4 linked regions of the Rhinolophus ferrumequinum genome follow. The protein of the gene in region 3 purifies or fractionates together with the protein of the main gene of each other region. This does not show direct contact. Links are inferred from orthologs where the notes say so. Each region holds a gene or a part of one and is shown on either strand. Other genes may lie near its edges.

What was found.
Region 1: the proteins of ARCN1 (region 3) and COPZ1 fractionate together in Homo sapiens (co-fractionation; 5 studies listed by BioGRID and IntAct, with this or other methods). This does not show direct contact. The link is inferred for Rhinolophus ferrumequinum from reciprocal best matches to the Homo sapiens genes ARCN1 and COPZ1.
Region 2: the proteins of ARCN1 (region 3) and COPG1 purify together in Homo sapiens (affinity purification with mass spectrometry; 6 studies listed by BioGRID and IntAct, counting the BioPlex papers as one, with this or other methods). This does not show direct contact. The link is inferred for Rhinolophus ferrumequinum from reciprocal best matches to the Homo sapiens genes ARCN1 and COPG1.
Region 4: the proteins of ARCN1 (region 3) and COPA fractionate together in Homo sapiens (co-fractionation; 4 studies listed by BioGRID and IntAct, with this or other methods). This does not show direct contact. The link is inferred for Rhinolophus ferrumequinum from reciprocal best matches to the Homo sapiens genes ARCN1 and COPA.

The regions. Positions count from the first base shown.
Region 1 is NC_046293.1:54,056,185-54,064,062, reverse strand, and holds the start of COPZ1 (coatomer subunit zeta-1), read right to left. Parts: upstream 3,691-7,878; 5' UTR 3,652-3,690; coding exon of another isoform or gene 3,634-3,651; intron 1-3,633. UniProt on the Homo sapiens protein: The coatomer is a cytosolic protein complex that binds to dilysine motifs and reversibly associates with Golgi non-clathrin-coated vesicles, which further mediate biosynthetic protein transport from the ER, via the Golgi up to the trans Golgi network.
Region 2 is NC_046302.1:368,615-376,985, forward strand, and holds the start of COPG1 (coatomer subunit gamma-1), read left to right. Parts: upstream 1-4,572; 5' UTR 4,573-4,684; coding exon 4,685-4,721; intron 4,722-5,661; coding exon 5,662-5,714; intron 5,715-6,183; coding exon 6,184-6,264; intron 6,265-6,474; coding exon 6,475-6,546; intron 6,547-6,730; coding exon 6,731-6,810; intron 6,811-7,977; coding exon 7,978-8,053; intron 8,054-8,317; coding exon 8,318-8,371. UniProt on the Homo sapiens protein: The coatomer is a cytosolic protein complex that binds to dilysine motifs and reversibly associates with Golgi non-clathrin-coated vesicles, which further mediate biosynthetic protein transport from the ER, via the Golgi up to the trans Golgi network.
Region 3 is NC_046294.1:87,906,622-87,914,630, reverse strand, and holds the start of ARCN1 (coatomer subunit delta), read right to left. Parts: upstream 3,753-8,009; 5' UTR 3,596-3,752; coding exon 3,593-3,595; intron 1-3,592. UniProt on the Homo sapiens protein: Component of the coatomer, a cytosolic protein complex that binds to dilysine motifs and reversibly associates with Golgi non-clathrin-coated vesicles, which further mediate biosynthetic protein transport from the ER, via the Golgi up to the trans Golgi network.
Region 4 is NC_046305.1:28,213,717-28,221,591, reverse strand, and holds the start of COPA (coatomer subunit alpha), read right to left. Parts: upstream 3,811-7,875; 5' UTR 3,695-3,810; coding exon 3,655-3,694; intron 2,292-3,654; coding exon 2,178-2,291; intron 1,974-2,177; coding exon 1,900-1,973; intron 1-1,899. Other genes in the region: NCSTN (nicastrin), read left to right, coding at 3,921-4,008, 5,204-5,308. UniProt on the Homo sapiens protein: The coatomer is a cytosolic protein complex that binds to dilysine motifs and reversibly associates with Golgi non-clathrin-coated vesicles, which further mediate biosynthetic protein transport from the ER, via the Golgi up to the trans Golgi network.

The sequences.
Region 1 (7,878 bases), on a different chromosome or scaffold from region 3:
AGCGAAGGCCACAGAGCAATATCAACCTTTAAGAGTCACTGATGTATTCTGCATAGTTTCCTCCTCCATATATACGCATACTCTTGTGCACTTTGGATGCCCTAATTTTTGAATGAGGCTTAGAATTCAGGATTTGGTCATTGTTTTAGGGTAACAATGTTGTTAAGAGAAGGGAAAGGATACAAATAAGAAGTCTGGTCCATTAGAGTACTGGAAAAGCACTCTGGAAGTGAACCCAGAGAGGATTAGGAAAAATGAAATCTATGAGGAAAGATTTAAGGATCTAGACTGCTAGAGTAATTAAGCTTTGAGGAAAAAAAGGTAAAGGGGGAAGGGAGGAAGGGAATAAGTCATTATCTTTAAGATTCCATAGGTTATTAATGGAGAATGGTGACCTGCAGAGATCCCTCTCCATTCACAAGAAAGGGAAAACAGCAGAAAACAGCAGGAGAGAGGAAGCTGAGTCCAAAGATGCAGGCTGGGAGCATCATTATTAAGCATTTCTAAAAGGAGATGAAAGAGTCTCTTTCCTTAGAGACTACAAAAAGACCTGAGATTAGACAGATGTGCTTGAAAGCTAGGGCTGAATTACTTAATTCAAGAAAGAAATGTGACCCATAATAAAGTACCGAAATAAAGAGAACCGATTGGTATTTAGAAATACCCAGTCAGATCAAATTTCGATTGATGGTTCTTCTTGACCGCCTCTAGCTTACCCTTCCCTTCTCAATATTCTATGGCTGGGTGCCTTGTAGAGGTGAGGATAGAAGAATATGCTCTGATCAGATTTCCCCAGAGGTCCAGCCAAACCAGGAAATAAAAATGTGAAAGGAGGAAGCCTAAAAGAACTTTAGAAGGTGTCTCCCTTTCTAAGGAATGGCTTGTTAAATACTATCCAGGTACACTAAACTCTTTAGTTCAGTACAGAGCTAAGGTAAGGTCCAGGGATTCTTTACATTTTTCATAATGAACATGGCAACCTAAGACTCATGCGATACTCCTGAGTAGACAGAAGAGGGGAAGAGATTAAAAGGAACAGTGAGGAAGAGTAATTCTGAATCAGATAGAGCTAAATTTTGTGGGCTAGTATGTGAGGGTAGTGAGCAGAGAAAGAAAAACTTAGAAAATATCACCTGATTCTCAACTAGGATTCTACATCTGAACCACTGAATACTGATAATTATTGAAGTGACTATTTTCTCACTTCTCCCAAAGACGGAACAAAACTAGTGCCATTGCGGTTACAGAGGACAGAAATTGGTTCATTACATACAATGAATACCTTAAGTCATTAGGGCTTAATTCTTTCCTGGAACTCCAGTTGAGAAGAGCTGGAATGATGAGAAAGGTATATAAATTCGTAATTAGGAGCCCAAAATATTGAAATTGTAAAGAGAATAAAATGTGGGAAAGAGCTGACACGGAGGAAGGGAAATACTAGTTTAATATTCTAAGAACGCTGGAGACACCAGCATAAGAATTGATACCTGTTGGTACTTTGTCCCCAACAAAAGCTTTATATAACTGATGGTCAAAAGTACAGTTTTGTATATTAAAGAAGTGGAAGCCGACGATGAGATAACAGAGACAACTGGTATGGGATTAGGAATCAAAATCTAATCTAGTTTTGACATTATACTTCCTTGAGCAAGCCCTTTTCCCTATACCTTGGTTTGTCCCCACTATATAAGTTTGTCATGACAAAGAATCAGTATGGTTTTTAAAGCAAAGTTCAGGGGTACCTGACCGGTTAGCATGGCTCTGTGAATGCTGCATCTTAGGTACAGATTAAAATGGATATAAAAAAGCAGCAGGTTGAAATACACTTCACTGAGGAAGCAGAGACAGAGAACCTGGGTTTAACAGAAAATGTGAAAGACTTTCACGTATAACTGCCTCAATTCACCACTACACACAGATCTCTGGTTAAAACAGCTCCCTAAGTATCATCTCCCTCACTGCTTTCTTTACCTGTAAACAGGCTCCTTTCTAAAGAAGAGATTGCTTCTCTTAACGAAATGCAGGGGGCCAGGCACCAGCAAGGAAGCAGTCTAAAAATTTCCAAAAACTTCAAAAGAAACCAATTCCCCTGAACTTATCTCAGTCTGTTAACTGCTTAAGAATACTGTTCAAGTGCGTGGTACAGAAAATATCTTATTAAAAAGTACTCCGTTTTAAGCTTTCTATAATATCTAGGCTTGACCAACCCATATGATGAGAAGGAATTATCTCTATCTTTGCCATTTTCAAAGAGGGGAACTGAAATCTGTTATTCTCTTTTACCTGATGAGGATCTGAATGTGTACATGTATTAGAATTGAAGGAAAGACAAAGACAAAAAAGAGGCTGTGCAGACAGAGCCAGGAGAGCAGTTTCCAGGCTCCCGGCCTCACGTGGAAAGGTGCTGGCTCAGGTAGTAGATGGCCATCAGCTGTGACTAGTTGGCCATCAGCTGTTACCGGTTAGCCATTAGCCACTGATATAACTGCTGTGGCTAAGCTAACAAGCGCAGATTGCGGATTGCAGTTAACAAGTGAGGTTGGCTGGCAGAGAAGCGGACGGCGGGTTGCACATGGTGTGGATCCTGCTTCCTGTGTCTCCAACCCAGCCGCCATGGAGAATATAGTGCTATGACTCCCCTATCTATGGCTCCGTTGGTGTTCCTTTTTGGTCTCACCATATCCTGCGTTCTTGGGCTGGGAGCGGGAACTGAGACCCCGCATGACACCCTGCATGACAGAGGCCTTGAGTTCAACTCAAGTAAAGAAGGAAGTGGGAACTAAATTCCTACACGCAGATCTCTGTTAACATCTCCCCTAGTTGCAAAACAGGTACTTCTGAGAGAAATGCTGTGGTCCAGGTCTAAAGAAGGAATAATAGTGCTTTATTTGTTTGAACAAGCTAAAAGGATCATATGGACAAGGGAGCTAATACACCCCTTTAAACACCAAAATTCTCCTCTCTCTCTCTCACCAGAGAGAGTTAGCATCCCAGATCCTACAATAAGAATTCCTAAAGTTTAAATGGGTAGGGAAAAGGAGACCAGAATAAGGAGTCTGAAAAAATATTCCACAATCCATGCTAACTCCATCAAGCATTCCAGAACATTGATGGAATACTGATTCTTTCTTTATCATGACACATCTATATAAAAGGGATTAACAGGAAACCAAGCAAAAAGAATAGTTTTCTGAAAGAATGTGACGGGGAATTATCAATGGAGTATCAAACTGTGACAACCAACAGGAGAAGCCTGTGATGACAAACACCTGCACTCCATTCTTACAATTTGGGGCGAGTTTGGAGAAACTCAAATCAGAATATCATCCACAATGCTCAGAATCGGGGGAACCTGAAGGACCTCAATCCAGTAGGCTTATGATCCTATGCGTCCCAAGGACCCCGTGTGCTCCCTTCAACTTTCCACCGACTCTGCCCTCTTCTCCGACTGTGCCCTACTCTAAACCGAGGTTCTAGCTCCTGCACTAGGCCACACCCTTATTCCAGGGGCCGGCAGAACCTTCGGTCCCGGAGGATTACCCGGAACTCCCGTATCTACCCACTTCCAGTCAGGTTGAACCCCGACTCCCGACCCCTCTAACACCGTAGCATCTCGATTGCCCCGGCTCCTACCAAAATCAGCGCCTCCATCTTGCCCCGCAGCTGGTGCCGACGTGGAGCCGCAAAAAGAACGCGGCCGCTGATTGGCCCTACGTCCTCGTTCGACCCCGCCCAGGATGGGGATTATTGGACTACGGGGTGCCAGCTATTGCTCTATTGACCAATCAGAGTGCTAGTTTGCTTTGCGGAAGCAAGGTCTCCAGCCAGAAGGCGCAGGTATTTGATTGTCAGTTTAAACACTCAATAAAACGCCAAAATCTCACGACTGAATGGGGCGGGAGAGTCAATGGGGCGGGGTTGTTTCCATGGGGAACAGAGGAAGCGAATATTAATTTTCAATTGGCAGGGCGGGGAGCACGTGATATCGTAAGCCTGGGTTAGCCACTTTAATCCGCACTCCCTTTAGGGGGCGCTATGTCTCCTTAACGTTTAACACTGGCAGCTCTTGGCAGAATCCTACCCTAATCCGCATTCCAAGAACTCCGATTAGGTCCCTGATGTTCACGGTTGCTTTGGCAAACACTGCTAGTTCTTCCTCAGACTCGCTCAGATCACTTGAGCATCCTCGCAGAAAGTCTGCCCAACCATAGAATAAAGCCAAGGGATGCCCAAGGTGTTAACTAGATAAACCAAAGTCTCCAGAAAGTTGATTGCTACAGTAACAATCTTCCCAAGGTGGAGTCCCAGGGAATGACCCACTGAGTTTCTAAAAGCAGATTTCTTTGGCCGCAAGTAAACTGGGATGTTAAGAGTTTTGGAAACCAGAGAGGAGAGAGTAGGAGGGACAGAGGGGTAAAGGGTCCAGGATAAGGAAGGGTATGGGGAGCAGGGTCTGCGGTCGTTCAGTAAGGACAAGCCGTTGCAAAATGAGAAAAGAGAAGTTTACTGAATGCAGGGATTTCACAATAGGGAAGGGTTCTGATGAAGTTTAGCTTTCCCCTACCCCTCTGTTCCTTGGTCCCTTACCTCCCCTTAGGTCAAGGACACCTTCTATTGCCTTGTGTTATCCCCAAAGGGATTTTGTTTTTTCTGTCTCTGACATTATTTCTTTAGAAGCTCTCCCAAGACGCTCTCCCATGATTCAGAAGCTCTCCCATGATTCAAACGTAATCATGAGTTTTTCTAATAATTTCAGAGTAGAGTCAGAGGGCCTAAGAGAAAAGTATAACAATACAAAACAAACTACAGAGCTGACATTTGCTCTAAAGGAAGGTATATGATTTTCTGGTAAAATCCGAGGTGACAAGGCTCATATCTTGAAGAAGCCTTTATCTATTCCAAATGGGGAGATACTCAAACATTTAGCTTTATGCCTGGCATCACAAGATTGTCCTTGGCTTGGCAGCTTAATGATAATACTAACATTTATTGACAATTTACTATGGGCCAGACACATGCTAAATCTTTGGATTTATTATTTAATATTTTTAAAAACCCTTATGATGGGACTGGTGGAACTGGGAGCAATTACATAATTTACTTAAGGCCATACAAGTATTCACTGGCAGCCATACATTTGAGCATAGGAGGTCTGGTTCTAAAACCATGTGCTTACTTACAATCCTATGCATGCTAAGGATTCCCATGTTCTTACCCACAATCCACTCTGACTTGTGGTACAGCCTCTCTTGTATCCTACCTAGTCCTACCTGAAGTACCCTACACCAGATGTTCTATAGGGACCATGAGGAGAAAAATATGTGGTGTGGCTGGTTTGGGGGAGGGGGTTAGCTCCTCTTTCTTTGTGTACTGACAAATCTTAACATTCAGACATTGTTCCAGAAGAGGGTTGATTCTTAGCTCTCCAACCTATTGCGTAACTGCAGTGGGGGGAAAACAATTAACTGAATGGGAGACATTAGTTCTTGTTTTGACTTTGCCTTAACAAGTGAGAGAATTTTGACAAGTACCAATACCCTCTCCAGACTACAGCTGCCACTTCTCGAAAATGGGGAGTCTCAGACCAGAGCTTTCTAGGGCCCTACCTCCTTACCCAGCATTAAAGTTCTATGATCATTCTTGTTTCATTTGCTTCCATCTCACCTTCAGCTGGAAAACCTTTAAGAACCAATCAAATGAAAAATACATATGTTCCCTCAACCATATGTATACACACACACTCACACGTAGTTAACCCTTTAATAGCACGGGTTTGAACTGAGTGGGTCCACTGATATGTGTTTTTTTAAATAAATACTGTAAATGTATTTTCTCTGATGATTTTTTTAATAACATATTCTTTCTCTAGCTTATTTATTGTAAGAATACAATATATAATACATATAACATACAAAATATTTGTTAATCAAGTGTTTATGTTATCTGTAAGGCTTCCGATCAACAGTTGGCTGTTAGTAATTTAAGTTTTGGGGGAGTCAAAGTTATACATAGATTTTCAACCGCATGAGGTATTGGTCAGCCCCTAATCCCAGTGTAGTTCAAGGATCGACCGTGTGTGTGTGTGTGTGTGTGTGTGTGTTATTGTGTGGAGGAAAAGACTGGAAGGACATACCCAAAAATGTAACCAGTGGCTAGTTCAAAGTGCTAGGACTTTTTTCAATGTTTTCATATTTTCTAGGTGTTCTAAAATGCATGGGTGCTATTTTAAAAGGAGAAAAACAAGCTATTTTTTAAAGGACAAAATCAACATCTTCTCCCCATGAATACTTCCCTGATATGCCCAGGTAGATTTGGACACTTCCTCATTTCTGCCATCATCGACTCTGGTTATAGTCATGTTTTAATACATCAATCTAACTCATCAGACTTGTCATCTGAGGCAGTGCTTTGTCCCTTTCATTTTATTTACTTAGCATCTAGCCCTCAAATAGTAAATACTCAAGTAGTGTTTGCTGAATAGAATGAATATTTGTGAAAATGCAAGATACAAAGATAAATGAGCAGTGTCGAAGTGCAGTTTAGGATTAAATGCCAAATAAAGGGTACAGATATTGAGAGGAAGTGATCCCTGGGGATTTGGGTGGGAGAGTCAAGATCCAGGAGAAGGGCTGTTGAGTTTGGCCTTGATTTATTCATGCATTGATGAAATGACTGGTAGGGTTTGGTATGAATAAAGGAATGGAGTCTGGGATGTGCAAGAAATATTTTTCTTTTTTTTAATTGTAAAATGTTTTTACTTACTTTTATATGTAACATAAAGTTTATACCATTTTAACCAATTCTAAGTGTACAGTTCAGTGACATTCAGCATATTCACATTGTTATACAGCCATCACCACTATCAATCTCCAGAACTTTTCATCATCCCAAACTGAAATTGTATACCCATTAAATAAACAATAACTCCCCATTCTCCCCTGCCCCCTAGACTTTGGTAACCACTATTCTACTTCCTGTCTCTTAATTTGACTATTTTAGTACCTTATATAAGTGGAATCATATATTTGTCCTTTTGTATTTGGTTTATTTCACTTAACACAATGTCTTCAGTGTTGTGTAATGTAAGAAATCTTTGAGGGATTGGTTTCATGGGACAGAGGATAAATAAAGAAATAGTATGGAAGGGGATGGAGATAAAACTGGAAAGGTACTTTGTGGCCAGATGGTGAAATGCATTGAATACAAATGTAGGTAACTGCTGTAGTGGGACCAGATGATGGTGGGAGTTGGAAGTGTTACTCTCTTTTGGAAAGTATTATGGCAGTTCCTGTAATATTAAACATGGGTACATCCTTTCCTAGAGAATTACAAACACAATCCAGTACATAATGACACATACATAAGAGTGCTTATTGCAACATTGTTTATAATGGCAAAAAATAACATTGTCTATCAAAGGGAGAATAGTTGAATAAATTATTGTATATCCAGACTGTGGAATAACAATGCAATAAATTTAAAAAGTATGCTAGAGGTATATGCATTAACTTGGAGAAATGGTAATGAAATGTTAAATGACAAGAGTAAGTTAAAGAGGAATTTATGTGGTATGATTCCATTTTTTCATTAAAAATATAAGGCTAATTATGAATAACTATGTTTGAAATGTTTCTATTCTGTTCATTCATTCATTCATTCATTCATTCTGCAAATATTTATTAAATGCTAGCCATGGGCTAGCCACTCCCTCTAAGCAGTGGATATATAAAAACAGTGAACAATACAAATACGTATCATTGCCCTCATAGAATCCTTGCATTCTGGTTGAGGAACAGAAGTAGATAATAGTCAAAGAAATAAGTAAATTATATAGGAGGTTAGGGGGTGATAAATGTCATGGAGAAAATTACAACGGAA
Region 2 (8,371 bases), on a different chromosome or scaffold from region 3:
AATCCATGCCTATATGGTCATTTAATCTATGACAATGGAAGCAAGAATTTACATTGGAGTAAAGCAGTCTGTTTAATAAAAGGGTCTGGGAAATCTGCAAAAAAATGAAGCTGGACCACATTCTTATGCCACATACAAGAATAAATTCAAAATGGATTAAAGATTTATATGTAAGACTCAAAACCATAAAACTCCTAGAAGAAAATATAGGAAGCAAATTTACAGACATTACCCTTAGTAATATTTTTACTGATATATCCCCTTGGGCAAGGGAAGCAAAAGAAAAAATAAACATGTGGGATTACATCAAACTAAAAAGCTTTTCTACAGCAAAGGAAACCATCAACAAAATAAAAAGGTATCCTACTGAATGGGAGAAGATATTTGTCAATGATACATCTGATAAGGGGTTAATATTCAAAATTTATAAAAAACTCATACCAAAAAAAACCAAGCAACCCAATTAAAAAATGGGCAGAGGACATGAAGAGACTTTTCTCTAAAGAGGATGTACAGGGGCCGGCCCGGTGGCTCAGGCGGTTAGAGCTCCATGCTCCTAACTCAGAAGGCTGATGGTTCAGTTCCCACATGGGCCAGTGGGCTCTCAACCACAAGGCTGCCAGTTCAATTCCTCGAGTCCCGCAAGGGATGGTGGGCTCTGCCCCTGCAACTAAGATTGAACATGGCACCTTGAGCTGAGCTGCCGCTGAGCTCCTGGATGGCTCAGTTGGTTGGAGCGTGTCCTCTCAACCACAAGTTGCCAGTTTGATTCCTTGACTCCCGCAAGGGATGGTGGGCTGCGCCCCCTACAACTAGCAACAGCAACTGGACCTGGAATTGAGCTGCGCCCTCCACAACTAAGATTGAAAGGACAACAACTTGACTTGGAAAACAGGCCTGGAAGTACACACTGTTCCCCAATAAAGTCCTGTTCCCCTTCCCCAATAAAATCTTTAAAAAAAAAAAAAAGAGGATGTACAGATGGCCAAGAGACATATGAAAAAAATGCTCAATGTCACTAATAATTAGAGAAATGCAAATAAAAACCATAATGAGTTACCACCTCACCCCGGTCAGAATGGCTATCATCAATAAATCAACAAACAGCAAGTGCTGGCGAGGATGTGGAGAAAAGGGAACCCTCATGTACTGTTGTGGGGATTGCAGATTGATGCAGCCACTACGAAAACCAGTATGGAGGTACCTCAAAAAACTGAAAATGGAACTACTTTATGACCCAGAAATTCCACTCCTGGGTATCTAACCAAAGAAATTCAAAACACTAATTCAAAAAAATATGTGCACCCCTATGTTTATTGCAGCACTATTCACAATAGCCAAGATATGGAAACAACAGAAATGCCCATCGATAGACGACTGGATAAAGAAACCGTGGTACATTTATACAATGCAGTATTACTCGGCCATAAAGAAGAATGAAATCTTACCATTTGCAACGACATGGATGAACCTAGAGTGAAATAAGTCAGACAGAGAAAGACAAATACCATATGATCTCACTTATATGTGGACTCTAAAGAACAGATTAAACGAACACACAAAACAGAAATAGACTCAGACATATAGGGAAAAAAAATCTGATGGTTGCTAAATTGGAGGGGTGTTGGGACTCTGGGGGAGAAAGTAAAGGGATTAGAAAGTACTAATTAGTAGTCACAATATAGCCACGGTGATACGAAATACAGTTTGGGGAATATAATCAATAATGTTGTCAAGATTATGTAGGTTGCCAGATAGGCACTGTACTTCACAGACTGTGTAGATACCTGACCACTGTGCTATATACCTGAAGCTGAAGTTGAATACTATTGAATGTCAACTATAATTAAATATATATACCATGTTTCCCCCAAAATAAGACCTAACCGGACAATCAGCGCTAATGCGTCTTTTGGAGCAAACATTAATATAAGACCCGGCCTTATTGTACAGTAAGACTAGGTCTTATATAACACCGGGTCTTATATTATTAATGTTTGCTCCAAAAGACACATTAGAGCTGACTGTAAGGTTAGGTCTTATTTTCGGAGAAACGGGGTATATATGGTCATGGGAGGTGGAATACAACATTGGGAATATAGTCAGTGGAATTGTAACAGCTATATTCGATGTCAGAGGGGTAGTAGATTGGGGGCCGTTATCACTTTGTGAGGGTTGTAAATGTCTAACTATTAAATTTTTTTGTAACAAAAAAGGACTTAAAAAATGTATATCCATAAAATGTAATATTATCCAGCAATTAAAAAGACTGAAGCACTGATTCATTCTACGGCATGGATGCACCTTGAAAACATTGTGTAAGTGAAAGAAGCCAGACACACAAAAGGCCACATATTGTGTGATTCAATTTATATGAAATATCTAGAATAGGTAAATCCATAGAGACACAAAGTAGATTAATTAATTAAAAGTAGACACAAAATAGGTTGGAGGGGGGAACTAGGGAGGGGTGTGAGGAATGGAGAATGAATGCTAATGGATATGGATTTCTTATGATGAAAATATTCTGGAATTAGTGGTAAAGAGAACACAATCTTTTGAATATACTGAAAAGCACTGAATTGTACACTTTAAAAGGGTGAATTTTAAAGTATATAGATTTTGTCTCAATTTTTAAAATGCAGTAAAATTAATAAAAATAATATCACAGCTAGGATATTGATATTGGTATAATCTACCAATGTTATTAAGATTTCCCTAGTTTCTCTCTTGTGCTTTCAGTATTCTGTGTTTCTACAAAGGACTTAGCAATTATGAAGAATTATATTACTTTTAAAAATAATAAAAACCCTACGATTATATGTAAACCCATACTTAGAGCTGGAGTTACAACCCACAATTCTCATTGTAATTTCATTACAAAAATTGCCCTTCATATATAGTTTTATAGAACTAATATCATAACACAAAAGGCTATTTTAATTCAACGCAATTTATCTGTATATCACGTTCTTAACACAGCAATATAAATTTCCAGGGTTCTTTTCTGGTTTTTAACCATGAGGCATACTTACTTCATCTTAATTATGAACACTTTTACACCATGCTTTTCTTTTTTAATGTCTCGTTTATTATAAGAAGTTTGCATATTGCCTCCCAAGACATTAGAAATATCCCTTTGTCTATTCACTACGTGTACACTTAAAACTAACATGTTGAATGCCAACTATAATTTAAAAAATAAAAACCAAATAAACAGAAAAGAAATACTCCTTTATAAAAGGGACAGAATATTTCATCCGATGGCTGTACCATAATTCCCATAAATTATCCCCTTATTGTTGGACATTTTGGATGTTTCCAATTTTCTTGCTGCAAACTGCTGCAGTAGGCAACTTTATTTTCTTCTTTTGTATGATTTCCTCCGGATAAGGGGTGGGGTTTCCTCCGGGTAAGGAGAAGGAGAAAGCCTCCTTCTCCTCCCCGCAGGTCTGGGGGCTGGTTACTGATTCAAGATTTTGAACATCTTTTTGGCTCGTGGCAATTTCACCTTGGCGCAACATCTGCTCTCCGCCTCCCCTGCTTCCTGCTAGGCCCCAGCCTCACTCAGCAAAGCATGACCCTAAAGGCTGGCCCCTCCCCCCACATACCCTTTTCTTCTGCTCTGCTGTCACCCTTACCTTCGTCACCTGCGGGCCTCTGCTCCAGATGCTCAGCAGGCCTCCTCCTCCCCGCAGGTCTCGGGGCTGCCTCCTCCCGAGGCAAGTTGGTGCTACGCGTCGCAGCGCACGGCTATCCTGACTCAGCTTTGCCACAACCAGTGCAATTTGGCACGTCGGTTCTCACTGTCCTTACCTTGGCCTCAAGGTGTCCTGCCCAAGTCCCCAGGAAGACAAACCCTGAGTGGTGTTTCATTTTCCCCTTCCCATGCTTTCCCGCCCCCAGCGCTGGGCGTATCTAGTAGGCCCTTGATAAATACCCAAAGTATTTTAAAAGCACATTGAACTTTTTCCATGCTGATCTTTCACTTTAGTTAGATCCCTTAAAGTACAAAACAATCTGCACCAGGAGCAGACATGAATTATAAGAGCAAGTTCATGCATTAATTCATTCAACAAGAATTTACTGAGCACCTACTACATGCCAACATTATGCAGGCCAGTGAATAAAAGACAGTAAAAGCAATATAGTGAAAATAGTGTGTTAGATGGTGATTCGAACTAGGGAGAAACATCAGGCCAGGGTAGAGTGAGGAGTGGCTAGTGAGGCCTCCCTGATAAGGTGACAATAGTAAGAACTGGCAACATTAATTGGGGTCTATTGCGGGACAGTGTACTAGGGCCCTCACTTCCAAAAGCCGTTTAAACTCACGGCACAACGCAATGAGGCAAAGACGACTACTACTCCCATTGCACAGATAAGGAGGGAGTAAGGCGCAAAGCTGGGGTGCCGGTCAGTCCTGAGTCTAAGGCCTCGGCAGTCCCCCAAGGCCTCCACGTCCGCCTATCCCCGGCCTCCGGACCTACCCCGGCGGGGACAGGGTTAACTCCAGACGGGACCTCCCCAGCCGGAATATGCGCTTGCGCAAAGCGCGGAGTGCGCCTGCGCAGAGCGCGGTGCGACGTGGCCAGCCGGAAGTGGCTTAGACGGAACTGTCACCAGACTGAGCTAGCCACGGAAGTCCAGCACAGGGCTGCTGCTTTGCGACCCCGCTGGAACGACCATGCTGAAGAAATTCGACAAGAAAGACGAGGAATCGGGTGAGAGAGCCTAGGCCTGGGTCAGGCTGGACCATCGTGCAGGCTGTCAGCACCCTTCCTAGGAGCCCTCTTTTGGGATTTCTGTCCTCACCCGAGGTCGAGGCCCAGTGAGAGGCAGGGTCTTGTGCAAAGGTCCGCAGCTGGTCAGTGGCAGGCCTCGGAGAGCCCGAGCCACTGTCCTCCTTTCTTAAGCTCGGACCGCGATTCGCTGGGTGACCATGGGGCAGGTCACGCGCCTCTCAGCGCCTTAGCTTCTCCATCTGTACGGGGAGTAGCAGGTGCTCCTTTATTACTTTCCAGTCTGACCTCTTGGGATTCGCCGGGGATGTGTTGGTGCTGGCCAAACTGGGGTATTTTCTGTGGAGCTCATGTCTTGGAGCTGAGAACCTTGACTCGTTCATTTATTCAGCGAATATGTACTGAGCACTTACTACCTGCCAGGAATTGGCATGTGTCCAGCACTTACTGCAGTGTCCTGATACTGCAGGAGGACAAGTGAGACACTCAGTGCCTAAGCTTGGAATAGTAGAATAGTCACAGGTATAATGGAGGAGACAGACAGCAACCAAATAGTAGCACATGTAGTTAATTACAAATGTGACATCTGCTGTGAAGAAGTACTAATCGCTAGGAGGTGGTGGTCCCTATGCAGTAGTAGGGACTCGGTTTAACTACCTTTTGCATAAAGGAATGCAAGACATGACACCATGAAAGGCAAAAAAGGACCGTGCCAGGGCTGTTGGGTGACTTAAGTGCTTTATGGTAGAGGGCGCCCCCTTGCAGGAGAGGGATAGGATCTATATGCAGGTTGTGGTTGCCATTCTGAGTTTAGACTTGACTAGGTAGACAATAGGGACACCTGTCCCTTCTCTATGGGAGAGTTTTGAGATTCAGGGTCACAACTTATACTCACTCAGTCTTTTCTGCTCTCCAACCGCAGGTGGAGGCTCCAATCCATTCCAGCACCTTGAGAAGAGTGCAGTACTCCAGGAGGCAAGTATCATTTGCTCCCCTCCATCTTTCATCATAATGTTTACTATCGATGCAGTTTTAATACTAACACATTGAAAGTTCTGGTTTAAAGAAGAAAGTTCTGGTTTAAAGAATAATAGGAGAGAAAACCTGTTTCTGGAAAGACAGGAAAGCTTTGTTCCTGGAGAGAGTTCATCGTGCTTACATTTTTGTAGTGGTTCTTCATTTCTCTTTCTAGTTAACAAGCATTTAATAATTATCTTTTAGTCAATAAGTCAGTACATTCTTAACTGATATTTAAATTTAAGGAAGATTTCAGCAGTTATTAATAAATCAAAGGAAAAAACTATTTTCTTAGGAAAATAAGCTTGTCTAAGCAAGTGTATTTATTTACCCTGGGACTTCCCAGCCCTTGAATGAGCTTGAGGGCAGTCAATGGAAGGGAAATAAATTGGGCTAGAAGATAATATCCTTGGTCCCTTCTTCTTAGGCCCGTGTATTTAATGAAACTCCCATCAACCCTCGGAAATGTGCCCACATCCTCACCAAGATTCTTTACCTCATAAACCAGGTAACAGGGTCAGGTTGAGGGGTGGAGAAATGGTGTTGGGGGATGTTGCGGGTAGGGGGGAGAAAGTCAAACAGCCCTTAGGCGATTCAACAGCTGCTGTGTGGTTGTAACCAGCAGCCAGGATCTGAGGATTTGGCCTGGGATGATCCAGCAGGAAGAACCTTCTGGACCATCTGTTCAAAATTGAAACTTTTTTCTTGGTTAAAATAGGGGGAGCATCTGGGGACCACTGAAGCAACAGAAGCCTTTTTTGCCATGACCAAGCTCTTTCAATCCAGCGATGTAAGTGCCCCAACCCCAGCTTTCCTTGAGAGGGGATAGCTATGACAGGGTGGTAGGAGCACCAAGGGAAAGTGACCCCACCAGTCAGTGTGGACTGCCTTTACATCTTCTGGAGTTTTCTTTTCCTCACCCTGACCCTCATACTGGGCTAAAGGTTATAGGATGTTTCCTATCTCTTTCCCAGCCCACCCTCCGTCGGATGTGCTACTTGACCATCAAGGAGATGTCTAGCATTGCAGAGGATGTCATCATCGTCACCAGTAGGCAAGTTTAGGGTCTGTGGATGGCTGTTCTGATGGGTTCCATTGATACAGAGGCCATTTTTTCTCATGTGTACTAGACAATGAGACTTTTGATTGACATATTGCCAAGTGTCCTTTCATCTTCTGTCTCCCTCATTCTTCAGTTACAGCTGCCTACCCCATGGCAGCCTCCAGAGTGTGCTGTTTCCCTTTTAATTTTCTGTCCTTAGCTTGGGCACAAACCTTTCTTTCCCTTGATTCCTCTTAGTCAGCTGAGCCAGAATACAACTCTCACAACGACTTTAGTGAGTATCAAGAGAGAACATGAGAAAAATAGACATAGAGAATGCAAGAGGTGTACAAATAGACCTCCTTACTAAGTATTTCTTTCTATCGTAGGCTGAGTGATTTAGGAGACAGATGTGACTAAAGTACAATCCCTGCCTTTGAGAACTGGGGCACAATTCTCTCATTTCTTCTTGTCACAATTTTTTTGGGGGCGGAGGGAGGTGTTATATATTCATTTGTAGATTCATTTAGAAAATATATTTTTGACTGTCTACCAGTCCCTGTGTGTAGCTCTTGGAATAGAACAGCAAACAAGACAAATATGTCCTCTGCAGCATCCCCAGAATTGACAGAGAAATAATCAGATAGTCAGGCGTTAAAATAGGATATATTATGGTTTACCATGGGATGTGTGATGGGCTGTGAGAGCAGATCAGAAGGGCACCCAACTTGAGTTTGGATCAGGAAAGGCCTCCTAGAACTGTCTGAGTGGAGTCCTGAAAGAGGAGTGAGAAAGAGCAGGCCAGAGGTCGGGGGGCAAGGCGTTCCGGGCTAAGGAAACAGCATACCCAAACACCTGGAGAGGAACAATCACATGCCCTACTTGGGGCCTTCTTTGTTGAAGAGTTTATGCTTAATGCTAATGGCAGTAGGAAGCCTTGGAAATGTTTCAGTAAAAGCAGGGGAGTGACCTGGTCAGTTTTAAGGTTTATAAAAATCCCTCTGGCTGCTTTGTGAAGTTTGGCTTGGAAGGGACAAAAATAGAGAACAATAATTAGGAGACTTGTATAGTAATCCAGGCAAGTGTGGTGCTGGCAGCTAGAGAGGAGTGGACAGGGACTTGGGCTTGTGGAAGGCAGGCCAGGCTCCTGTGTAGGGACAACACCCTCTCCCCCTGCAGCCTGACAAAGGATATGACCGGGAAAGAAGACAACTACCGGGGCCCAGCCGTGCGAGCCCTCTGCCAGATCACTGATGTGAGTCTGCTCCCCCACCCAGCCATCCTGCTCTTACCCTGCTTTTCAGTAAAGGTTCAGTTTCATCCTTGGCACGCTGTAGGTTGTCCCCCACCTCTGGGGCAAAGCACCGAGCCAGGTGATGGGGGGTGAGAGGTGAGGTGCACGGCAAACATGTTTGCTTTCTTCCTCCTTTCCTCACCCACCCACTCCACATCATCTGCATTCCTAAAGGTTGCTGAGAATTTATTGTGTCCCCTCTTGCCCCATTCCTTGTCCCTCCAGAGCACCATGCTGCAGGCTATTGAGCGCTACATGAAACAGGCTATCGTCGACAAG
Region 3 (8,009 bases):
TAATTCATGATCATGTTAAAGCTAATTTCTAGAACTGTCATAGAGAGGACCATTTTTTTTCTTTCCTTTTTGCATTAAGTAAGCACAGATAAAATCAGAGGAAAGATTAAAATAAAATCTACACCATATACAAAACCTAAAACTTGAAAAGTTAGTGAGAGCTTTAAGCTTATCACAATTTTCTGTTCTAAAACAAAAGCTTGTAGAAAATCAAAATAAAAGACATCATTCTCAATTTCTGCAATGAACTTCCTATTTGGAGAATAGATGGCAAATCAATGGGAACTCAAATCATTTCATTCTTTGCTGTCCTCTCAAATAACAATCAAAAAGATACATAAAGGGGAGGCCAGTTGGTTCAGCTGGTTAGAGCACAGTGCTCATAACACCAAGGCCGCCAGTTCGATTCCCACATGAGCCAGCAAGCTACGCCCTCCACAACTAGAGTGAAAACAACGACTTGACTTGGAGCTGATGGGTCCTGGAAAAACACAGTTTCCCAATGTTCCCCCAAAAAATTAAAAAAAAAAAAAAAGGAAAGATACATAAAGAATACAATAGCTACACAGCTGCTGTTTGTATATCACAAAAAGGGGAGGAGAGCAATAGTAACCCTCTAATCGGGAAGTTTTTACTGTGTAGGATTTGTTTCTCCCCATCATGTATAGGTCAGCCACACAAACCGAAATCTAACTTTCTAATAACCAATAGCTTTTGGGAACTGAACTTAATGTGATCATTTATATTTAATGTGGCCACTATAGTTAAGTTTATTCATTGCCTATACTTAATAATAAAAGAACGGCACTCTGTAGATAAGCAAAGATTTTAGAGATTGGTGTTACCATGAGATTTAATATCAAGTTTTTTCAAATGTAAGTTTATTAAGAAAAGGAACTATAATAATACTTAACAATGTATTATTGTTAGGAAAATAAGAACATGTTCTGATTAATTTGCAGAAAACTAGAAAAAAGATCAAATCAAAACATGTCCTTTTTTTACTTAAAGAAATAAAAGCTTAAAAAAAGGGGGGGAGGACCGGTTAGCTCAGTTGGTTAGAGGGCGGTGCTCTTAACAACAAGGTTGCAGGTTCTATCCCCTCATGGGCCACTGTGAGCTGCGCCCTCCACAACTAGACTGAAACAACTACTTGGCTTGGAGCTGATGGGTCCTGGAAAAACACGCTTAAATAAAAGTTAAAAAATAAAAAAAAAGGTGTCTTTTTTATTTCTTCATTTTATAACAAAGTCATCATAAGCCATTTGTTTTTGCATTTGTTCATTTATTTCTCTACTAGGACTTTGAAGCGTAGGACAAAAATATTATTAACTTCAGTAACTAAAGCCAAAGGAAATTTGTATTTCATAAATCAACATTCATGTACTGATATCTGCAAGTTACTCTAAAATGCATTAAAAGATGTATGGAGGAATGGATGGATGATTAGACGTGTGATAAAACAAGTATAGTAAAATGTTAATTACAGAATCTAGTTGGTGGTTATATGGGTGTTCACTATGAAGTTCTTTCAACTTTTCTAGATGTTTGAAAATTTTAAATGAAATGTTGAGAAAAAAAATCAATTTTCAGAAGTTTTGAAACAACTTTTAGATCCAAAAAATCTTACAAAATGTCACTCTACTTGGATATTTTTCCTGTCCAGGAATATCTTCATAAAGGAATAGGACACAAAAATATTACACAGAAATAACACTTAATGTCTTAAGACTCAACAGAGCAGAATGTACTGAGAGAGGATGTTCTCCAGAAATCACAAATCTGTGGGCATCTAGATTATGCCAGGTTCCAACTAGTTCAGAAATATACGCATATTTAAACATGACACAACTGTATACATATGCACACGTGTCCAAATAATATGCAAAATTTATATTTTGTTTATCACTAACACCTAGAACTTTAATATGCCTCAGTTATCAATGAATTAAAAATATAGCAGGTCCTCAAAAACAGTTTCACTCAAGATCATGTTGTTATATTGATGAGATGTTGTGAGAATTTTAACTCTTGTTTATATCAATTAGCCTATGGTAAAACTGATTTCGTTATGTCATTTTGCTTAAAGTCACAAACCTATTGATGATAGTAAGTGAGGACTTACTGTACTAAGTTCCAAGAACTTTTCAGCATCTGTTTGCAAAGATTATCTACATTTGGTTTATATAAAACAAGGCTTTAATTTTGCTATTAAAATTACAACACACTATAAAATGCACTACAAACACATTCAGGACATAAAAGGAAAAGAAGCTTAAAAATCACTATCCAAATACTGAAACTCCTAATAGAAATGAAAAAAAGGAGTTTTTGAAAATTTTATGTGCAACATTAAAGTTTTATGACGCAAAACTGCTTGATGCAATTTATATGCCTGAAGCTGAAGAAAACCTTTCAGTGTTTAAAAGCCCAACCATGAATCCTCCACCATCTATGTTCTCATCTAAAAGGTTGTCAATTGAACTTAATATGAATGACACCAAATTCGACCGTCGTCTCTCAAGTGTGTAGAAAGACGCTTTAAATCAAATGATTAATCTACTAACAATAAAAAAGAAAAAAAAAACTTCCTTCAAAAGATTGAAGGGCATAAAGTGCACTAAAAAAATAAATTACTAGCTCGTTTGGAACCAAAGAATTTCTCCTACTTCATAAATATCTGTGCACAAATTCTAGTGATACAGCAAGATTTAGTGGAGTCAGCAGTGTTTTGTCCCCATCCTCACCCACATTAAATTTTCCCATCTCTACAGTGGATGAGAACATAAAGATAATGTATCTAAAGGCAAGTAGGTTGCAGAGTGTAACTTCTTACTATCTGCTATACACATTTTACTTCACCTGAACAGTAAGTTTCTCCAAGACAGAAAGCCTATATTCTTTACAACTCGCTCACATTTTCCCAACGCTCTATACATTGCATATACTCAATCTCACTGACAAATGGACACACCTAAGTTCTGTAGAAGTAGTGGAAGGTTTCAGGGACACTTGGGTCTACAAACTAGTGTTCTGTGCCTCCTTTCGAACTTTCCTCTATTTCCCCCTTTCGAACAAACAAAAGAAGTACTGAAAACCAATGAATTTGGATTTCGAACATTAACGGCCTACCAAACACCGGAGATGGGAGGCAAACTGATCACAGAGGGAAGGGAATCCCCGGAGAGAAGTCCAGCCTGCCGAGCTAGGCACCCATGGAACAGGCTGGACTTTTGCGCGGAGGATCGCAGAGTGGGGTCCAAGCGCTATCACTACGAGCTTCTAGTAGAGCAAAAACCCCAGCCCATTCCAGGGCCCGGATCTCAGCACAGAAGGTGCCCAGTTGGGGGTGGGGAAGGAAAGGGTGTGGGCGCTACGACAGAGGATACAGGAGTCAGGTCCCCCGATCTCCCGAGAGGTCGGGCACAAGACAGCTCCCCGAGCCCCGAGGGTAGCGCCGGGCGGAAGCGCCGTGCTCCAGGTGCTCCAGGCCCTCAAGCAGGGACTCCTCTGGCCATAACACCAAGACGACCCGCAGAGAGCGCGGACACGCGAGGCCAGATCCGGGAATGCGGCCCGGCTCGGATCTTACCATGGTGAGGGCGGTGGTGGGGCGCACCCGCGCTCTGGCTCCACTGGGGCTAGGGCTGAGGTCAGGGAAAGGAAAGCACCGGCGGCTCTGGACCTGCTGCCCCCCTGACAGGAGCCGCAGCCGCTTTGCCTCTCGCCAAGATGGCGGCCCTGAGCCACGTCTCAACCGGAAACTGCGCAGGTCAAAGGGCGGAGGGCGGGGCGCCATGGGGTGGGGAAATTGTGCGTGCAAAGCTAGAACGCGACTTGGCCAAGAAGGGATCGGGCTCACCCAAGCGATAGAACCTCGTATTTTTGTCCCTTCACTTATTGTCAGCGCCCTTGTTTAATTTTTGACACCTCTCGTAGTTTATAAAACTCTCACAGCCACTACATCACTTAACATACGAAATAACCGGGTGTGCATAAGGACCTAATATCCAGAATAAAGAACTCTTACAACTTAATAATAAAGACAAATAATCCAATTTTAAAATGGGTGAAACAGACATTTCTCCAGAGGATATACAAATGGCCAATAAGCACATAAAAGATGTTCAAACATCCTTAGTCCTTAGGGAAATGCAAATCAAAACCACAATGAGATACCACTTCACCTGCACTAGGATGCCTGTAATAATAATGTTGGTATAATAAGAATGTGGAGAAATTAGAACCCTCATACACTGCTAGTGGGAATGTAAAATAGTGCAGCTACTTGGGAAATAGTTTGGTAGTTCCTCAAAAATTTAAACCTAGTTACCATATGATGCAATTCCACTCCTTGGTATATACCCAAGAAAATCGAAAGCATGTCCCCACAAAAAAGTGTACACTAATATTCATAGATGCATTATTCATAAGAGCCAATAAGCAGAAACAACTGAAATGTCCATAATAAATGAATGGATAACAGAATGTGGTGTATCTACACAACGGAATATTACTCAGTTGAAAAAAGGAATAAAGTACTGATACATTATACAACAAGTATGAACCTTGGAAATATGTTAAGTGACAGAAGCCAGTCACAAAAGATCATATCTTATATGATTCAAGTTATATGAAATGTCCAGAATAGGCAAATCCATAGAGATAGAATGTAGGGCTATAAGGAGGTGGGAGAGGGGAAGAATGGGGAGTGAGACTTTTGGAGTGATGAAAATATTCTGGGATTATACAGAGGTGGTGGTCACACAACTTTGTGAATATACTAAAAACCACTGAATTGTACACTTTAAAAGGGTTAATTTATATGACTTGTAAATTATACCTTTTTTTAAAAAGTGTGTGGGAATCAGGGCAGTTACTGCGTTCATGTTCATTTTGTAGGTGAAGAAAATTGATGTCAAGTTTAAGAAATTTACCCAGAGTTCTAGGCCAGTATATAATGGAAGCAAGAGTCAAATCTAGCCTTCTGATTCTGTTGATAGTTCTCCCATGTCAAGTGTCGGACTTAGGGCATATGTGATTCAGCAGTTCTCCCCTATATCATTTCGTCCTGTATCACTGGCTCAACTCTACAACACTCAAACACTGCTGCAATAATGGATAAACAGCAAATTTTTATTGAGTGCTTATTTTGTGTCAAGTACTTTACACATGTTAGCTGTAATCCTTTACAACAATCCAGATAAGGACACTGAGGACCAAAGAAGTCAAGCACTTGCCCAGACTCACAGTCTGTAAGGGATAGAGCCAGGATTCAAACCCATTTTTTTCTCATTATGACACACCTGCCTCTCTCTATATATGCCATGTTCCGGTATAAGACCAGGTCTTATACCGTATTTCCCCAAAAATAAGACCGGACTTACATTAACTTTTGCTCCAAAAGATGCATTAGGGCATATTTTCAGGAGATGTCTTATTTTTTTCATGTACAACAATCTACATTTATTCAAATACAGTCATGTCATCTTTTGGAACATCGTCAAAATGTACTAAATGCGTCCATCTGGCTGACGATCTTAACTGGGGCTTATTTTCGGAATAGGTCTTATTTTTCAGAAAACATGGTACATCTTCGGTATGTTCCTTAATGTTTATTGAGCACTTACAATGTACAGTGTATTTAGGAATACTGTGTATTCCTAAACTCTTCACACAGATTATCTGATTTAATCCTCACAAAAATTCTCTGACATAGGAACCATTAATATCTTTATTTTACAGGGAAACCAAAGTACAAAGAGGAAAACTATTCTACCACACCTCTCACGGCTAGAAAGTAGTAACTCTAGGATTGGAACAAAAGCTGCTCAACTTTAGAATCTATACTCTTAAGCACTGCACTATAGAATTCCCACTCATTTCAATTCTATCTCCAGTGGCTTTCTAGTAGAATCATTACAAACCCCCCATATTTTAGAACTTGCATGTCTGGGAGGATCTATGTCAAACTGTACTGTTTATTTTTATTATAAAAAGGACATGCAGTTTTAAAAAGATGAACAAATTCTTAATTTAAAAAAAGTAAAAATCATGTCTGGAATTATTGCTTTATTGTGGCAGCTTCCAGGGGCATTCAGTGTGGAACAACCAAAGCTCACAAAGACCAACTGATGCTGATTCTTTAGAAATACGACAGTTGAATTAAACTGCATAAGAAGAGTACCCCAGCAAGCATGCTTTGTGAGGAGTGCCTTAAAGGCAGAAAGTCATAATGGTTAAAAGCAGAGCCTTGGGAATTAGACTGACCTGTGTTTGACTCCCATTGTCGGCACTTACTACCGTAGCTGAGTGACTCTAGGCAAGTTGCTTTAATTCTCCAAAACCTCAATTACCTAATCTGTAAATTGACAGTAACATCTATCTCATAAGGTTGTGAAGTTAGGTAATATATTAATAAGTAAGATTATATAATCTAAGTGGTCCTACATAGTAAATGCTCAACAATACATATCCATTATTATTAGCAATAACAGATGACAAAAAATTTTAAAAAATGTTTTGCAGTTCCATTCTTTTTAGATAAATTTTTATTGGGGAACAGTGTGTTTCTCCAGGGCCCATCAGCTCCAAGTCGTTGTCCTTCAATCTAGTTGAGGAGGGCGCAGCTCACTGGCCCATGTGGGAATTGAACTGGCAACCGTGTGGTTCAAAGCTTGTACTCTAACCAACTGAGCCATGCGGCCACCCTGCAGTTGCATTTTTAACCAGAAGAGTCTCAGAAGAGGTGTTTCTCATTTTCTTTTTAAAAGCCACTTTACTGCTTTCCTCTGGCTGGTTTTCAGGGTCAAATTTCCAATATTATTCTCTTTGTTTCTCTCTTTGTTACTCCCCAAATTAACTATGTCTGTAGTTTGAAATATTTGTTCCTTACATCTTTGTTCACTCATTCATCCACCCAATGAGCATTTTAAAAACACCTAATTTATGCAATGCACTGACACTATGAAGATCTTAAAAATTAGTTAGACACAGACGCTGCCCTAAAGAAGCTCAGTCTTCTTTAGCAAATAAAAATACAGACACCAGGATAAATTGTAATCTCAGATAAATAACGAATAATTTGTTAGTATAAGAAATGTCCTATGCAATGGGACACCGTAAAGAGGAAGGACTATAATGTAATACAAATGCTAAAAAGGACGTACAAAGTGTTGTTGGACTATTCCTTAGAGATTTTGTCTAAATTCTGATTAGACTGATAGAGGAGGAATTGCATGACCAATGGTAATTGTCTTACGGGGTAAAATGCACATGATTATTTCCAGATTGAAGGGTTAACTTTATAAACCCAAATTCATCAGCCAGCTTTGCCACCCGTGGCCGCTGGATGCCGCCACAGACGCCTTTACTGAAACCATAGACAAACAGGCGACCTGATCGCCCAGAGAGGCTCCTCCAACCCCCACCCCGGAGACGCTCTTGATCCTCCTTGGAGCCTTCCCTCACAGGGACTGAAGGCGCGAGTGGAGAAAGTCTCACGAGAGTGAAAGCAAGTCTCGCGATTTTTAAAATTTGTTTGTTTATTTATTTTTACCTAGCGCCTGACAACTGGACGGTTGCTCCAGGTAGAATCCCTAGAGTGGCTTGGCCTGACATTGGAGTGAGACCTCAGCCCCAGGCTGGGGTTCTTTCAATTTAGAGGAGACGGATTCAGATGGGCTACAGGTAATTGGTACTCACCCTCTCCGGAAGAGAACTCCTTTTCTCCCTCCCAAGAGGAATTTAAGCGGACTCCCATTCTCTCCTTCCAATCCCCCAATCTCTTCTCATCTCCATGACAACTGTTCCTTCTCCCCTTCGTTCACGTCTCCACCAACCACCCTGCTTTTCTCTTACTCCCCAAGAACTTAAGGGGGACCCGACCTGCAAGTTGGGTGGGGGGTGGAGATGGGGGTGATGTTTTCGGGATTATTGGATGGGACTGAGAGGCTGGAGTTGACCCTCTGTTCCGGTAAACGAGGTAACCCCAGAGACAGAACTCATTC
Region 4 (7,875 bases), on a different chromosome or scaffold from region 3:
CACATAAGTGGAAGATAACTCCTTTTTAAAAATATTAATCATTTTGGAAAAACTTTTTTGTGGAAGTAAACAGAGTAAATATCAATTTTCTTTTTTCAATACAGGTTCAAAGTCTCTGGCTCCAGCTTTTGCGCCTTTATAACAGTCAAGGTCTTCTTCAAAGAATTGCCTATATTCTGCCTCTGCTTCCTCACTTCACATTAAAGTGCTAAGATCATTTATGCCCCGCTAAATAAACAATACAAAGATTACTTGGTCTTTATCTTACGCTGACCACTTTCTCCTCCCCAAAATTCTCTCCTTCCTTGGTGTCCAAGATGTTTCTGCTTCTCCCTTTTGGTTCATCTCTAACCTCTCAAGTCATTCTTTCCTATACTAATTTTACTTTCTCTATCTTTTAAATGACAGTTTGTTTTCTCATTCAACATAATTCCTGAGTGATATGTTCTAACTGCTTCTGCTTTGGCTCCCTCCTTCATGATGACAACTCCCAAATACATCTCCTGTGCAGATATAGCTCCACTAGGCATCAGCACCAAGATGGTAATTATTACCCATCTGCTATGAAATGAATGTGTCCTTCCCAAAATTCTTATGTTGAAATCCTAACGCCCAAGGTGATGGCATTAGGAGGTGAGAGTTTTGAGGTGCTTAGGTCGTAAGCGTGGGGCCCTCACGAATGGGATTAGTGTCCTTTTAAGAGAGACCCCAGAGATCCCTTTGTCCACTGCCACCATGTGTGTACATAGCAAGAAGTCAGCAGTCTGCAACCTGGAAGACCTTCAGCAGACCCGGACCATGCTGGCACCCTGATCTTGGACCTGTAGCCTCCAGAACTGTGAGAAAGAAATTTCTGGGGGGTGACTGATTAGCTCAGGTGGTTAGCGCGTGGTGCTAGTAACACCAAGATAGCCGGTTTGATCCCTGCATGGGCCTCTGTAAGCTGTGCCCTCCTTTAAAAAAAAAAAAAAAAAAAAAAAATTCTGTTGTTTATCGGCCACCCAGTATGTGGTATTTTGTTATAGTAGCCCGAACAGACTGAGACACCATCTTCTTCCACTCCAAAAAATTGTACTTGTTTTTCCTTTCCTAGTTAATGGTACCCTTTCCACCTAGTGACCTAAGTTAGAAGCCTGAGATAAATAATCTCACTTATTTTCCCTTACAATTCCTCTAACATCCATGCAACAAACTTACTGATTCATTTCCTTAAGCACTCATATCCATCTTTCTCTCCATTTCAAATGCTACTGCCTAAGCTCAGGCGCTGTTCCTCTCTCATATGAACTTATACAACAGTCTCCTAACTGGTATCTCCGCCTCCAGTCTTGCCCAATTCATCCAATCTTTTCTCTATACTACCACACAAGTAATCGTTATAAAAAAAATGTCAGTCTGATATCACTCCTCTTTTTAAAACCCTTTAATGGTTCCTCGTTATTTGTACAGATCCAATCTCCTGAACACTGCAAACTCCATGATCTGGCCCTTTCTCTCATCTTACACAAAACTAATTATAGTTTCTTATCCAGCTATGTCATGCTTTTTGGTCTCTCTACCTGGAATGCCCTTCCCTATTTCACTTTGGTTATCTCTCTATTGTATCACTCACTAAACTGTACACACCTATTATTTGGATATACAGTTATCTCTTCTATTAGAATGAAAGCTCCTGGAGAACAGAGGCCATTTTTTATTTATTTTTGAATTCCCAAAAAATAAAACAGTGTCTGATACACAGTAAACATTCAGTAAATGTTGCTGGATAAGTGTTCTGGATAACATTGTGAAAAGCCTGAGCTCTGTATGAGTAAGAAGTACTGTTTTTTAGACCCTTCCACAATTCCCAAACTCCATGTTCTCTGTTCTTTACTCCTAGTAATGACAGACCCGCTGTACCTTAATCTTATAGTCGTCTCCTCCAGAGACAAACAGTGGCTGCTGCTTATGGAAGTCAATGCCTCGTACTGGACCTGGGGAAAAAGGCAGGCAATATATGTTAAAGAGAGCTATGCTTCCTAATCTCTAAGGTGATTCTTATTCAGGATCTTCCAGTTCTATCCCCTCCACATTGTTTAATCCTAAAAGAATTAATGTCAAACAAGGCTTAAAGTATTCTAGAGGACAATAAATACTTGTATCTTTTTTTAATTTCCTCCTAGAAACTATTATCTTACCATCATGCTCATCAAACTTGTCAATGAGGGTACACATCCGATAGTCCCATAACTGGATGACTCCATTGTGTAAACTGGTCAGGATCCAGGGTCTTTTGGGGTGAAAACTGAGCCCTGGGGGAAAAAAGCAGAGAGTGATCCAATAAATTAAGTAAGCCTCACAAAGTCACCTCCTGTCAATTCTGATAAGAAAAAGGAACAGCTAAGTTAATCCTAGGTTCATTCATTCATTCACTGGATGCTGGGCATTGTGAATTTTATAAGGTGCTGGATTTTAAAAAAATATTTGCTATCTTCTTTTAAATATTGTTGGAATTTGTCTTAGGGTGCAGTTAAATTACTTGGAATCAGTTGATTCTTTTGACACTTGCGTTTTAAGTTTTTTTAGGGTGGGTCCACAGCAGTCTTTAGTGTAGGTCTAATTTGGCACCACTATTAATGCAATACCCTTTTGAAGTCTCTATATGCCTTGTAGTTGTAGGAGGTCTTTCCATCCTCGCTAGCAAGAACAGATTTTTAAGCTAATGAGTCTATGTCAGGCACTGTAACAAGCACTTTTCATATACTTTCCCATTTTAATTATCTTTATTAGAGAATGTTAATTATTCACATTTTACACATTAAACAGATTTAGAACTGTTAAGTCATACACCTAGCTAATGGATATTTCAGCATTCCAAAGCAAGCCCATCTGATTCCAAACGCTAAGTTCCTAACCACTTTGCAAGCTGCATCTTACTAAATATTCAAGATATATACTTTTTCCAAATCTCAGAAGACCTTATTTCTCTGCCTTTCCCACTGTAACATTCTAAGAGATTACTGCTGTGATTTCAGTCATTTGCCCTCCACCCCCAACCACTGATACTAAAGCTCTAGAATTGCCATACTTAGGAAATAAATATGCCCAGTTACCTTTGAATTTTAGATAAACCATGAACAATACCAAAAATTACTGTTAATCTGAAATTCAAATTTAACCGGGCATCCTGGCAACCTTATCAAGTTCAGACTTTACTGGGGTTACAGGCCTAAATGTCCTGTTTCCAAGTAGGAAATAAAGCCCAATGGAGGCATTGGATGTTGACCTGGTGCAGCCTCCTTAAGTGAGGTAGCCAGTGCTCATCTCCAAAAAAGCTACTGACTTGGATACAAATGGCAGAGGTCGAGACTCAATCCCCAGGGACACTCCCTAGAATACGTCATCAAAAAGCCAACAGGTCACAGGGCGTTGGGAGCAGAGGAATAAAAGTCAGGAACACAGGCCCCAGATGAGGAGAAGGGAAAGAATTGAAAACGGGCCTTAGGACCCTCCTGAGGTGTGGCGGGCTGGAGAACCGCCCGCAGGTCTAACTTCCCTCCGGTCCATCTTCCTCAGGGTTCGTTCCGAGGGCCCAATTCGGCCCACCGGTCTACCTTCTCTCTTCCCCGGTGACAGCGCCGCCCCTGACATCCAGCCCCTATGCTCCTCTACTACCTTTGACCCGTGCGCTCTTGGTCTCGAATTTGGTTAGCATCCTTCAGGCCTGCAGCTCCGAGCTCCTAATCCAAGCCCCGCCACTCCCTGAAGCCCTTCGTTTGTCTCCACGTCAGCGGCCCTCAGCAGCAGCTCCCGGAAGTTCCTCCAGACACGAACTTCCGGTCCCTGGAGCTCCGGGCCACAGAGACGGCGCCGGTGTGGGCCTAGAGAGGCCACGAACGGACAGGAGGGGCACAAAGACTTCCGCTCCGCAGAGAGACAAAATGGCCACGGCCGGGGGTGGTGCCTCTGTGGCTTACCTGGGATGTCGGGATCTTCTTTGCCTTTTGTCTTTCTGCGTCCTCCTGGCAGGTGAGGCCTCCCTCGTCCGTGAGTCTGTAAGGAGAACCCTTCGGATCGGCCCAGCCGCGAGCGCCACCGTCTATCTCCTGGTTCCTTCTGCCCTTCTGTCCCCCAACCCTGTAAATCTCTTTCTCATTCGTTCCCACGACAGAAGTTTCCCTTTTACTTGGACCCGAAGGTCTCTCCCCCGCGGCACGTCGGGTCGCCCCATTTCTTCCTCCAGGTCTTCTCCAGGACTTCCAGCCCGACTCTATCCCACTTTATCCGGATGCCTTCTTTTCCCCAGGGCCCCAGCCACCCCACCCACAATCAAAAAGGACAGATGTCATCGTTCAGCTTCCTTCCCAAAGCGGTTAGACATTTCAAGATGAAAGCAGCCTCGTTCTGTGGGTGCAGTGCAGCGCTTATTAGAACAGTAGATTCCTCATTTTCTCTGCTGTTGATTCCGCGTACTTTATTCTCCGTACTTTTCCTCAGTTTGTGTTATCAGGATATGGGGTACTCTTAACTGTCTAGACCATGAAATAATGATTCAAGGAACTTTAAGCATTTATAATGTATATAAGTGTTTGCTTATACGCATTTATTTTCTGGTATATGGCTTTCTAGTTTGTCAAGCCCTAAAATTCAAACATGCCTGTATATAACGGTGACCATACCTTCCCCAAGTTCACATAGTTTTTAAAGATCCCCAAAGGAGAAACTATAGCCGCCCCACACTGGGCACACACAAGTGATGTACTGATGTTAGATTAACTGACAGGTGTGGCAAAGATTTTCTCCCAATTCTGTTCAGACTCCTGGAAAAAAGTCTCAGAAAGATTTTTTAAATTGTAATTTATAATCTTAGATTGGAACCCTTTTATTAACTAATTTGTAATACACATACAGATAGAAAAGTGGAAGTGTGGTCACCGATGCAACCAGAAGCTGGTACATCTGAGGTTAAATGCCTTTCCTCTGACAAAAGAAGTTTTTTCTTTTAGCTTCACTGTCAGTTGCTCTATGTAGAATTTGTAATAACCCTCTGAGGCACATAGGTGGTTGCATTTAGGTGTTCCAGTAATGTGCCCAAGAAGTGAGAAGAATGGACATTAGTCCCATTTTAGAAAGTATGATATGCCCAAGCCATCCAGTGAGCTAAAGACAAGATGGAGGCTAGTACTATCCTAGTTTTTACTAACACTTTTTATCTTCTGATCAGGTTTGTGCGGGGGAAACTCAGTGGAGAGGAAGATCTACATTCCCTTAAATAAAACAGCTCCCTGTGTCCGTCTGCTCAATGCCACCCATCAGATTGGCTGCCATTGTGAGTTGAGGTTGGGATTTTTGCCTGTGGCCATTGATGGTTCAGTCTTTGCCCTCGATATAAATATCCAAGTCCTGCTTGGGAGTCTCAGCATACAGATTAGGCTATGTGGGTGGGAGCTGGTAGAGAACCATTTGTCAAACCAGGCAAGATAGTTATTAAAAGCTAACATTTAGCAAATGCTGCATACTAAGCTTCTTACATGTGCATCTCATTTAATCTTCACAACAACCCCATGGAGTAGGCTCTATTATCTCATTTTACAAATGATGAAACTGAGTGGGACTTAAAGAAGTTCAGTAACTTTTCCAGGATCATCCTGCTATTAAGGATGAAGCTAGGGTTTGAGCCCTGGTGGTCCAGATTCCAAGCCAGGACTCTTAACCACCTAGTGGGTCAAGTGGAAAACTATACTGTTTTCTTAGGAGAAAAAAGTCTCATATTCTATGGAATTCAGTCATTACCTGAACTCTAAATGATCTTTTTGCAACCAAAATGGGCTTCTTGAAGGCAGTGAACTATTTGAAGAGAAGGCATTGATAAAGCCAAATAGTTGCAAGAGGAATTTGTAAAGCATTTGGATTTGTCTTTATGCTTTGTAAATGTGTTCCAAAACAGGGTACCATGACAACATGCCTATAAAACTATGAAAGGGGAAAAAAGTTGTGATCTGAAGTCTGAATCCCAGTTCCTCTTCTGCTTAACCTGCTATCTTCAAATTTTGTTCTTCTGTGGATAGTAGCTCTGTCTGAATGTAGTTTTGCAGGTAAGCAGGAAACAGAATCAGATCTTGGCTCCTTCATCAAATTGGTCACCTCTGAATTTCAGTTTACTCGTATAAAGACAATATACCTACACAAAGCTGAAAGTCAGACAACCTTTAATAAATGTATATTGATGATGCTGAGTAAATAATGTGGTCTCAGCAGTACTCTGTGACTTTCCTGAAACCTAATTTTATAGGAGAAAACGGGGACACAGAAGTGACGGACTTGCTCAAGGTGGCAGTTACTACTTTTGTACCTATCCTTCCTCTTATGTTGTCCCATATGTTTGCTACAGGAAGTACTGGGAGTAGGATAATTGGTTTAAGCAGTTCCAAATAACATTTCTGTTGTACTTAGTTCTTAAACTGGACTTAGTTCTTAAACTGTGGGCTGAGTCAGACTGCTGATCTTGCTAGAACCCCACTTTAGTGCAAGGGCTAGGACCCCGTCCTCCTGGAGCTAGCCTCCAAGATACCCCTTTGGGAATGAGTCATTCTGCTGCATGTTCTTAGAGCAGCCCTGTTGGAAGCAAAGCAGTAGCTTCTAGAGATACAGCCAAGTGCCAATACAGAGAAACAAGTGGGGAGGGGCTGGACTCTGGCCACTTCCTCATTAAGATCTTGTTTCCTTTTCAACCTACTCATTTCTAAGTCTTACTTCATCATGTATGTCTGTCCTGAGCAGGCTACGCTCTCTTTAACTAGAGTTGCTACCATGATAAAAATGAAGGAGAAAGACCCAGGTTTGATTTTCTGATTAGAATGCCCTGTTTCTGTTAGACCCTATTAAAGTGCTCGAAGAGTTTATATATGTAGGTTTCTTTTCATTCCTTTCTTTCCTTTTTGAATTTGTCCCTACAGTATAAGATAGATAGGGGTGGAAAATCTTCTCCTCATTGAAGGTTTATATAAAGTAAGCAAATTACTTAAGACAACACAGTCACCCACTGGAACCCAGATTAGAATCCAGGTTTTTTTCAGTGTCATAACTTGTCTTCTTCTTGTCCTCCTTGGAGCTGAAGTTACATATTTTTTATTTGCCAGACTAGCTTTTCCTTTTCCCATGTTTTAAATACTATGGCAAAGACTGCTGTCTTTTATTTTACTTAGAACTGCCATTGATAGGTAGGTCTTTTTTTTTTTTTTAATGAGACTTTATTTGAACCAAACTGATGACATATGCGAGGGAGCAAGATCTCAAATGCTCCCAGGTAGATCTTTACTAAAGTTATTCCAGATTCTGATATTCCTCTGTATTTTATTATCGTCACTATCAACATGAACTTAAGTATTTGCTATGTGTAAGACATAGTTGAATGTTGTGGACCTGCTTTCATATCTAGATTTTACCAGATCCCATGGGAGCAAAAGACTACCTGGCTGGCAGTCTGAAAGTGCTTATAGTTTTTGTCTCATGGAAGTTACAGGTATTTCAGTGCCTTGGTCTAGAGCCATAATTTGCATGCCTGGCTGTGTATAATAAAGAACCACAAGTGGCGTGTTTTGCAAATACACATGCCTGGGCCTCACCTTTAGAGATTTTAATTTAGTAGATCTAAGGTAAAGCCCAAGTATCTGTATTTTTAAAAACTCCAAAGTGATTCTGATATACAGCCAGAGTTGAGAACTGCTCTAAAACAATTTATGAATAACACATCCAGTTTTGAGTGGGAAGAAGACTTGCGGGGAGACCCTAAGATGTCTCTACATGGATCACTAGGGACTTGAGCTGCATTGCTACATAGAACTCAGGGTCATCTATCCTCTAATGCAGTGCTTCCCAATCTTTGTAATGTGATGA